Linked DNA regions of Bombyx mori. The protein of the gene in region 1 interacts with the protein of each later gene in a pairwise test. Links are inferred from orthologs where the notes say so. Each region holds a gene or a part of one and is shown in the gene's direction. Other genes may lie near its edges. The genes, in order: exportin-6 and nuclear pore glycoprotein p62.

Region 1 (4,276 bases):
TGTTGTATATTCGCACCGTACAGGTTTTTATAAAATTCTGTAGCAATATTAATTATATCTCTACGGCTGTGGGTTGTTTGTCCTGATTGGTTTAATTTCTCAATCCAAGTTTTATTTGTTCGAAATTATTTTATTACTTTTTTTTTAATTTTTTCCCCGTGTAAGGTAAGTTTGTATTTTTTGATTCCGGTAGTTTATATAGTCATATTTTATGTATTTACTCGTCAGTTTATAAAGTGCTCATATGTTCGTTTTTTTCTAATCGTGACTTCCTTGGCGTTTTTTTGTAACATTTGTCTCTTATTTAATAATGTAATTGTCCTCTCTGAGAGAATTTTGTGTCTAGTAAAGGTATTCTTAACCTGTCGTGTTTTTGACTGACTGACTTTGATAATATATAATAATTTGTTATAAAAATCCTGCACTGTCGTCTCCAATTGATAGTCGACGAAGTTTGATGATATCTGATGCCTCAGATTTTGCTTGTATGCTTCAATTGCTTCTCTCGTTTTTAAAGTACTATTGCGGTTGTTAGTAAATTTTATTCGACTTTTCTTTGATACTTTTAAAGTTATTGTAGCTCTTACCATTCTATGGTCTGTAGAGAAGTTAGGGTTCAGCTTTTCTATATATAGGAATAGCTTACACTTGACAGTATATAGTCGATTTCATTCTTGTGTACTCCGCTGGGTGATGACATCATACTTTATTTCTTTCAGGGCTTCTTCGAGCTCTAATAGTCTTTCAAATGAAGAGAGGGTTTTTGCGTTATATGTTGCTATGTATAACTTGTTTGTTGATAGATTTCCGGATTTTGGGCAATTTCTAATTGTTTCTTTGAAGGCTGTGGTCAATCTCTTCCACGGTGACCAGCCGGCTTGTTACCGTGTAATAACGGTGGTTTATTAACTGTTTAATATCTGTGAAAGTGCACAAATATGGGAAATGAAATAAAGCCGCTGGACGTAACTTCTCGGGATCCTCCAAAAAGTCCACTGAAAAAATCTCAGTAAATGATCACCATTTTACTGAGATTATATTTCATCCCATATCATCTCATTTCATTTAATTTCATCCCAGTTGATTAATGTCTCAAATTAATCATCTTCATTTCATTTCATTTTATTTCACTCCATTTTATCATTTTTCATAAAAAAAATAATATAAATTAAAATAAGACGTGACTTAAAAGTCTTAGTAACCAGGTAATAAAATCCCTTTAAAAAAATTATAGAAGTTGAATATACGTCAAATGTCAAAAATAGTCAAGATGGAAAAACATAAAAAAAAAACTTTATTTAAGTTGATGAAAACACTGTTCAATTAATAAATAGTAATTGTACAGAAAACGTTACAAAAAAAATCATTTAAATGTTTTGAATAAAGCCTTATTCATTTCATAATAATAATAAAAATAATGTGAAATTATTTCTTAGATGTTATTTAAAAAATCATGGTAAGAAATAATAGTAGAAAATGTTGGAAGTTTAAAAGCACATTGATTGTATCTTAAAACAAATTTTCAGACCGAACAACATATCGACGAGGCTTTAGCCTCTTTGGATATTCTCATGTCGGAGTTTTTTGCTCCGACGACAACTAATATAAGAAAACGTGAAATTGAAAGCATGCTGGAAGACTTTTCAAATCGCAGAGACTCGTGGAAACATTGTCTCCTATTTCTTCAAAAGTCACAGAATCAGTATGTTTTGATGTTCTCTCTAACGACGTTAGAGGTAAAGGTTTATTTTATTTTATTGCTCTATTATGGTCTAAATGACCAGGAATTTCCAAAGTAGTAGAAATCGGTTTCTTACGGGTTGAAACGAAACGAAGAGGAAATTTTTTTTCGTCATGTGCACTTTTTCTAAGATTGACTAATATTTGAGTAGGATTGTTGTTGTACCTCTAAAAACTCAACTAGTCCATAAGCGTGCACAAGTTCATACAAGATGCAAACTTAGCAAGTCAATGAGTATAAACAAGTTCATGCAAGATAATGTGTATGAGTGTACAAATCTTTCAGACACATTTTGATTTTCTCTGTATTGGACACATCCAACAGAGGTCATATAATTAAGAACAATTTGAAGTTCCAGGTTTTTTTAACCCAAATCATGTTTTGTGTATTATGCATTCTTAGAAGTATCTAATTATTTTATGAAATAATCACATAAATCTATTTAACACATAAATAATACATAGAATAAAACTATTAATAATTTTATTTAAAAAATTTACTTATTCCCCCCCATGGTAACAAACAAAACTACAAATAATTAATTGATTTATTAAACTGCTTTAGAGTTAGTTTTTTTTTATGAAATTAAGATCATATAAATCATATGAAAGTGAATGTATAAAGAAAAAAAGGTATTTAATACTTTTGAAACTAAAATTAATAGTTAGTACCAAGTCCATAGCTTTTAATATCAACTTGGCAGATAAAGTTCTATTCTTCTATTAGACTTCATAAAGCTTTCTTAAATCACCACACTGAGAAATATTATGTTTCAAATCAAACATATATCTTGACTTCGCACCTAAGATGCTGTAATGGGCTTAGATCTGGGCTGTTAGCTGGACACTCTTAAGACAGAAACTAATGGCAATGTGAGAAATTCCTTTATGGTACATACAATAAATAACCAGAAGCACATTTTCGTTGTAAGGTTACATTGTTTCTTTCAATATGTTTTTGTCTTTGAAGTGATCTATGTTTCCTTCTATTAGCTTAACAGGTTCCATATCATGTCCAGACTTTTATTTTTCCCAACCACAGAACCAGACTAACTTATTTAATTAATTAAGTGCTTAAGATTAGATTATCCACAAAAGAAGGTAGAAAGGACATCACATCACAAAATTTCAAATCGCATAGAATATAACCATGTCACCTTTGCTATGGTGTGTAGTAAAGACCCTGTCAAATATAATGTGCTTATATTAAGCTATTATGTAATTTTCTAAAATTTTTTTTTTTTCTTATTGGCCTTGTAGGCAGACGAGCATACGGCCCACCTGATGGTGAGTGGTTACCGTTGCCCACGGACTTCAGCAATGCCAGGGGCAGAGCCAAGCCGCTGCCTACCGCTAGCCAAGCCGCTGCCTACCGCTAGCCAAGCCGCTGCCTACCGCTAGCCAAGCTGCTGCCTACCGCTAGCCAAGCCGCTGCCTACCGCTAGCCAAGCCGCTGCCTACCGCTGTATAAATGATAAATATAAAATGTATAAATGATAAATTTAAATAACTCGTTTTATTAACAAATCGTAAATTATCACTCTTCTTTGTAAACCTTCCTTTTAATTACAGAAACAAAGCTCTGCTCTAAAAAGATACTACTTTATTTTGAACTTGAAATTATTTTCTGCATTTGACACTTTAGTACTCCTTGCTATCTAGTGCTTAACTTAATTATCAACCTCTCATTATACTTGAAACACAGTTTTAAGTACAAAAGTGGTGTGAAATAAAACAAGGAACAGCCTTATTACTTAATTTCGTCTTTACTAAATTAATGAGCCATGATATTATAATTTTTTTTTATCTCAGCCCTTTAATAGCTTGAAAGATACAGGTAGTAAAATTTAAGTCAGCAAAATACATTGAAATGTTTGAAATGAGACTCATTTCTCAAGGTGGGTTAAGTTGTTCATGTCTATGGCCTCCGGTAACTGCTTAACACCAGCGGACCGAGAATTTCTTCAACCACTAGTCCATGCAAAAATAAATAATATTTAAATTTCCTTCCAGAACACTATCAACAGACAATGGATTGGTATATCAGATGAAAACAAGACAGAGATCAGGTTAACACTATGGAATGAATTAATGGCAAAACATGAAATTATGTTATACTTCATAAGAAACAAAATGGCCCACCTTATGGTTTCAATAGCCAAATATGATTGGCCACATTTATATGAGGATTTCTTTAGTAATATTGTCGAGGTATGAATAAAAATATGAAAGTCATGTAATTTTCAAAGATCTGAAATGATTGTAGATAACTCTTGAAGTTATTGATGAGTATGTATACAAGGGACGCGTCGTTTCCGGTGCTCCCGATCCACTATCGGTGCTTTTAGGTATCTCAAGTACCGGTTATCGTTCTCGTCGAACCCATCACGTGCGACGAAGGGTTCGGCGAGTAAATTAACCCATGGACACGCCGTTTCTTGCCGGATCTTCTCAGTGGGTCGCGTTTCTGATCTGGTGGTAAATTCTGCAAAGTACTGCCCCTGTTAGGGCTAGTGTTAGCAACGTCACCAGGTTA
Region 2 (4,257 bases), on another chromosome or scaffold:
CATTGAAATCTTTTGTACAGCACTAAAGCCGCCATGTTTTGTGGCCAGATGACGTCACAGTGGCACGAAATTTTGGTTGACGTTTCATTTCCATAGGTTTCCTACTTCATTGGTCACTATGGAACCTACGAGAATAAGTACGGCAGATAAAATATTAAGTAGGTAGGTATGCAGGTAGTCAACTTACTTTGAAAACTTTACGCCTCATATTTGTGCACTTGTATACAATGGATTGTTATTCAAAAAGTTTAAAACCACACACACCACGTCTGAGATAGTTTTTTCTTTTCTTCTCAGTCGTACACTCCTAGCGGAGTGGTCGTGGTTATGTACGTCTTATTTAGACATTTCCATAACTCTCATGCGAAAATAGTAGCAGTGGCTTAATAAAATAAATATAAATAATTAAAATAGTGTTCTGATATAGTAATGCGAGCATGAAACACGAATCTACCTGCCGAGATAAACAGTGGCTAACAAGGTAACCAAGGGCCCCAGGGCAAATAAAAAAATGGGGCCCCACTACTATGTAAGCGGATTAGGTTTTATGAAATAAAAATAATATGAAATATACAAATACTTTAAAAATGCTAAGCTACTTAAGCTCTTTTTTTGATTGCTGACGTGGCAACGCATCGCCATGCACAAGCGACTGTCTCATTTTATTATTGTATTTTTCATATTCCACACCAATTTTCTATTCTAAGCTATCCATATAAACATCTATACTTGTACAAAGTAATATCAATGTTTCAAATCTACAAGCTTTACCGCGATGGCTCGTTTTTTCCTTTCCTTTGGAACACACCATCAAACTCGACTTTGGAACAAACTTGCTTAATTCAGGATGTGGCAAAAGATATGGATGATTTCATCTAAAATTGTTATTGTTATCATCCAACTGATGTTATCAAAAGCGATTTAAAGGTATGGAAGAGATTGCCTTTAAAAATCACATACAGTAAATTGATTTGAATTGAACAGAGTATAGAGAGTTGGATTGGAAAGATAATTTACGGTTTCACATTTATCGTTAGGATTCATATTAGGTGACGAGAAAAAATGGGGTAATTAAACATTGTTAGGTATTTTTTATACTATGTACTATAAGAATATAGTTTTAGCTTTTAAATGCCTTATCTTTCTTCTTTTGCCACGATTATCTTTCATATATTTTTCCTTTCCGACACTCATTTTCTAGAATTGGTTGCGATGAGAACACGGGAAAAAATATGCTTGCAATCTGCCTGGCTTGAGATCTCACACAAGGTTTTCAATTCCAGTTTAAATCAATTGGCTACGTTTCTTTTGCCAGTCTGATCGGACATAACAAAAAGTGACTTTTGACACATTGAAGTTTGAACGAATGATTAATATCTCGATAAATCTTACTGTTGGTAAATTTTCTAACGGCGGCAAACAGTAGTGCTTACTAAACATTTATTGAAATATCTAAATATACATACTTCCATCATTTAAACTATTTTACTTTTACATAAGTTTATCTATAGTTTACAAAATGAGTTTTTCTTTTGGAACTACTACAACGTCGTCTAATACTTTTGGTACACCAACACCATCAACAGGTAAATTCTTTTTGGTTTGATTATCATGTTCCAATTTGAAGCTTTATAAATTGAAATACTCTACAATACGATTCGAACTACGATATATATGTTTTTTTAAACAATAATTAAATTGTCAATGTAAACAATATAACCACACTTTTTTCACGTTAAGATCAAAAAATTAATTAATTGGATGTAATTACAGGATTTTCATTTGGCAGCGGTGACGCTTCAAAGCCGTTATTTGGTGGATCCAACACAGGTACGATGCGTACAAAAACTTCCGGTAACAAATACAAGCGATATTTTAAATCTGAATTTTTCTGTTACAAGTAACAAAAATAGACAGTAAAAATTTAAGGGACTAAGGGAATTTAAGGCACCACTGTTAATAAATCAAGATTTATTAACAGTGGTGCTGGTTTCTTAAACCAAGAGACATGGATATTTTCAGAAAAGATGAAGTACACTCATTAGATATCCAAACATGAATCGAATCCCAAAAGCATATAGAAAATGCAAATAATATTTTTAATCTCTCAGAAAACAAAGCAACATTCAGCTTCACTAGTCCCACAACAAGTGCACCAGTATTTGGCAGTTTTGCATTTGGTGCTAAAACAACAAATGCAGCACCTTCACCATGTAAGTAATGGCCTTTGTTTACTTAACGCTGAATATACTGTATGGTTGTAATTAAACCATAGCCAAAAGACATGCAAAAGATATTTAAACAACTATTAACACTCCTAGCTGACATGTGAAAAATTATTTAAAAAATTATAATTATCCCTCAAAGGGGTTCTTAAATGATCAATATTTCATAAATATTTATTTACACTCAGATCCTATGTTCTAAATACAATTTTCATACAAGTTAAAGTTAAATTAAACTCCAGGAATGAATCTAACACTAAAATAGAATTGACCTACAAATAACAAAATAACATAGTGCTTAATCAAAATTATCACCACACTACTGAATCACAAAATGTAAGAGCCTTGAACCTTTCCTGCCCTACTCTTTATAGACAATGAGAACCTACCTGCTCAAAAAGAGGCTTACATCAAACATTACGAAAAACATTCTACTCATAACAAATGCCTCTCACACTTATGTATTGTATGGCAGTTTCATCTCCATCGACAACGACTACAACTGCAGGCTTTGGAGCGAATAAGCCAACACCCTTTGGAGGTTTCACTTCACCTCCTAATCAGACAGTTGGCAGTTCTGCCTTTGGGCAAGCAACAAATCAGGTGTGTACAGTAATTTTGTTGGGAGCCTGTTAAACAAACTATTCGTCAGTTTGGTGTGATGTCTCCAGCTGCGTTTATCGATCAATACTGTATTTTGCATTTCACCAAATTAAGTGGAAAAAAAATCAGTTATATTTGTAAATTTTACTGGTGGTAGGACCTCTTGTGAGTCCGCGCGAATAGGTACCACCGCCCTACCTATTTCTGCCGTGAAGCAGTAATGCGTTTCGGTTTGAAGGGTGGGGCAGCCGTTGTAACTATACTGAGATCTTAGAACTTATATCTCATGGTGGGTGGCGCATTTACGTTGTAGATGTCCATGGGCTCCAGTAACCACTTAACACCAGGTGGGCTGTGAGCTCTTCCACCCATCTAAGACATAAAAAAAAAAAAAAACAATGTTCTGCCATTGTTAAATTGTTGTGAAAAAAATGATATCTTTTCTTTCTTAGTTTGAGAATGCTTACATTCTACTTATCTTTTCTTTCTTAGTTCGAGAATGCTTACATTCTACATAACTCTTATATGTCGTTCACTGTGCTCCTTTGCATGTGTTAATGCCTTGTAATGCTAGTGAATATTTCACAGAATGCAGGACAGGCCCAGAATCTGTCGTTTGGTGCAACCACCACAGCACCACCGGCATTCGGTACACCTGCCACACAAGGTTGGTTATAAATATAATAATATTATAAATTTATTATTATAATGAATATATAAATGATATTATACTAAAATGACGATTATAATGGTAACACAGCTTAAGACCTGGATTGACAAATATAATTATTTTGACATGGCAGATGACATGGATAATTATAAATTTAAAATTAAAAAAAAGGATAATAATATTGCTTTTGTAAATGCACTAGCGCTCAGCTTTTGCTATTATGAAAATTGGACTTAAAGTTCAGAAAAGTTTTAAGTCATTGTTCCTTACAAACGAAATTTATAATTACTTCACCAGTACGTCTTGCTTGCATCAGTAATAAAGTGAACAGAAATTTTAAGAAAAGGAAATGTATGAACATGTTGTTTTAGCTGCTGCCCCAGCATTCGGTTCCAGTGCAAATACAGGTTTTAGCTTCGGGAAGCCGGCATCAACGACAGCTGGCTTTAGTTTTTCAACACCTACATCTGGTTTCTCAGCACCGCAAGCTAGTACTGTAAGTTTTTGTTACAATCCCAAAAAAGAAATCGTTTTTAGATCATCTCCAGTTAATTCCTTTGTTTGTCTGTTATTTTTGTTGTTAAGTTTAAGGTACAAAGGTAACTATTCTAAATCCAACTTCTGATTACAATAATTTGTTGAAACCAGGAGACAATGTCAGTCTGTATATAGTAGTTACCTAGTTGTAAGCATTAACACTACACTGTTTCTGCTGCAAAGTAATCATGCACTCTGATTAAAATTAAATAGTTATAAAAA

The links.
Region 2: the proteins of exportin-6 (region 1) and nuclear pore glycoprotein p62 interact in binary tests that used the Homo sapiens proteins (3 or more experiments, as listed by UniProt). The link is inferred for Bombyx mori from reciprocal best matches to the Homo sapiens genes XPO6 and NUP62.

What each region holds. Positions count from the first base shown.
Region 1 is NC_085114.1:10,470,775-10,475,050, reverse strand, and holds the start of exportin-6, read left to right. Parts: upstream 1-1,252; 5' UTR 1,253-1,453; coding exon 1,454-1,456; intron 1,457-1,526; coding exon 1,527-1,736; intron 1,737-3,753; coding exon 3,754-3,951; intron 3,952-4,276. UniProt on the Homo sapiens protein: Mediates the nuclear export of actin and profilin-actin complexes in somatic cells.
Region 2 is NC_085134.1:6,717,880-6,722,136, forward strand, and holds the start of nuclear pore glycoprotein p62, read left to right. Parts: upstream 1-1,342; 5' UTR 1,343-1,519; coding exon 1,520-1,586; intron 1,587-1,773; coding exon 1,774-1,830; intron 1,831-2,111; coding exon 2,112-2,213; intron 2,214-2,700; coding exon 2,701-2,828; intron 2,829-3,416; coding exon 3,417-3,495; intron 3,496-3,869; coding exon 3,870-3,994; intron 3,995-4,257. UniProt on the Homo sapiens protein: Essential component of the nuclear pore complex. The N-terminal is probably involved in nucleocytoplasmic transport.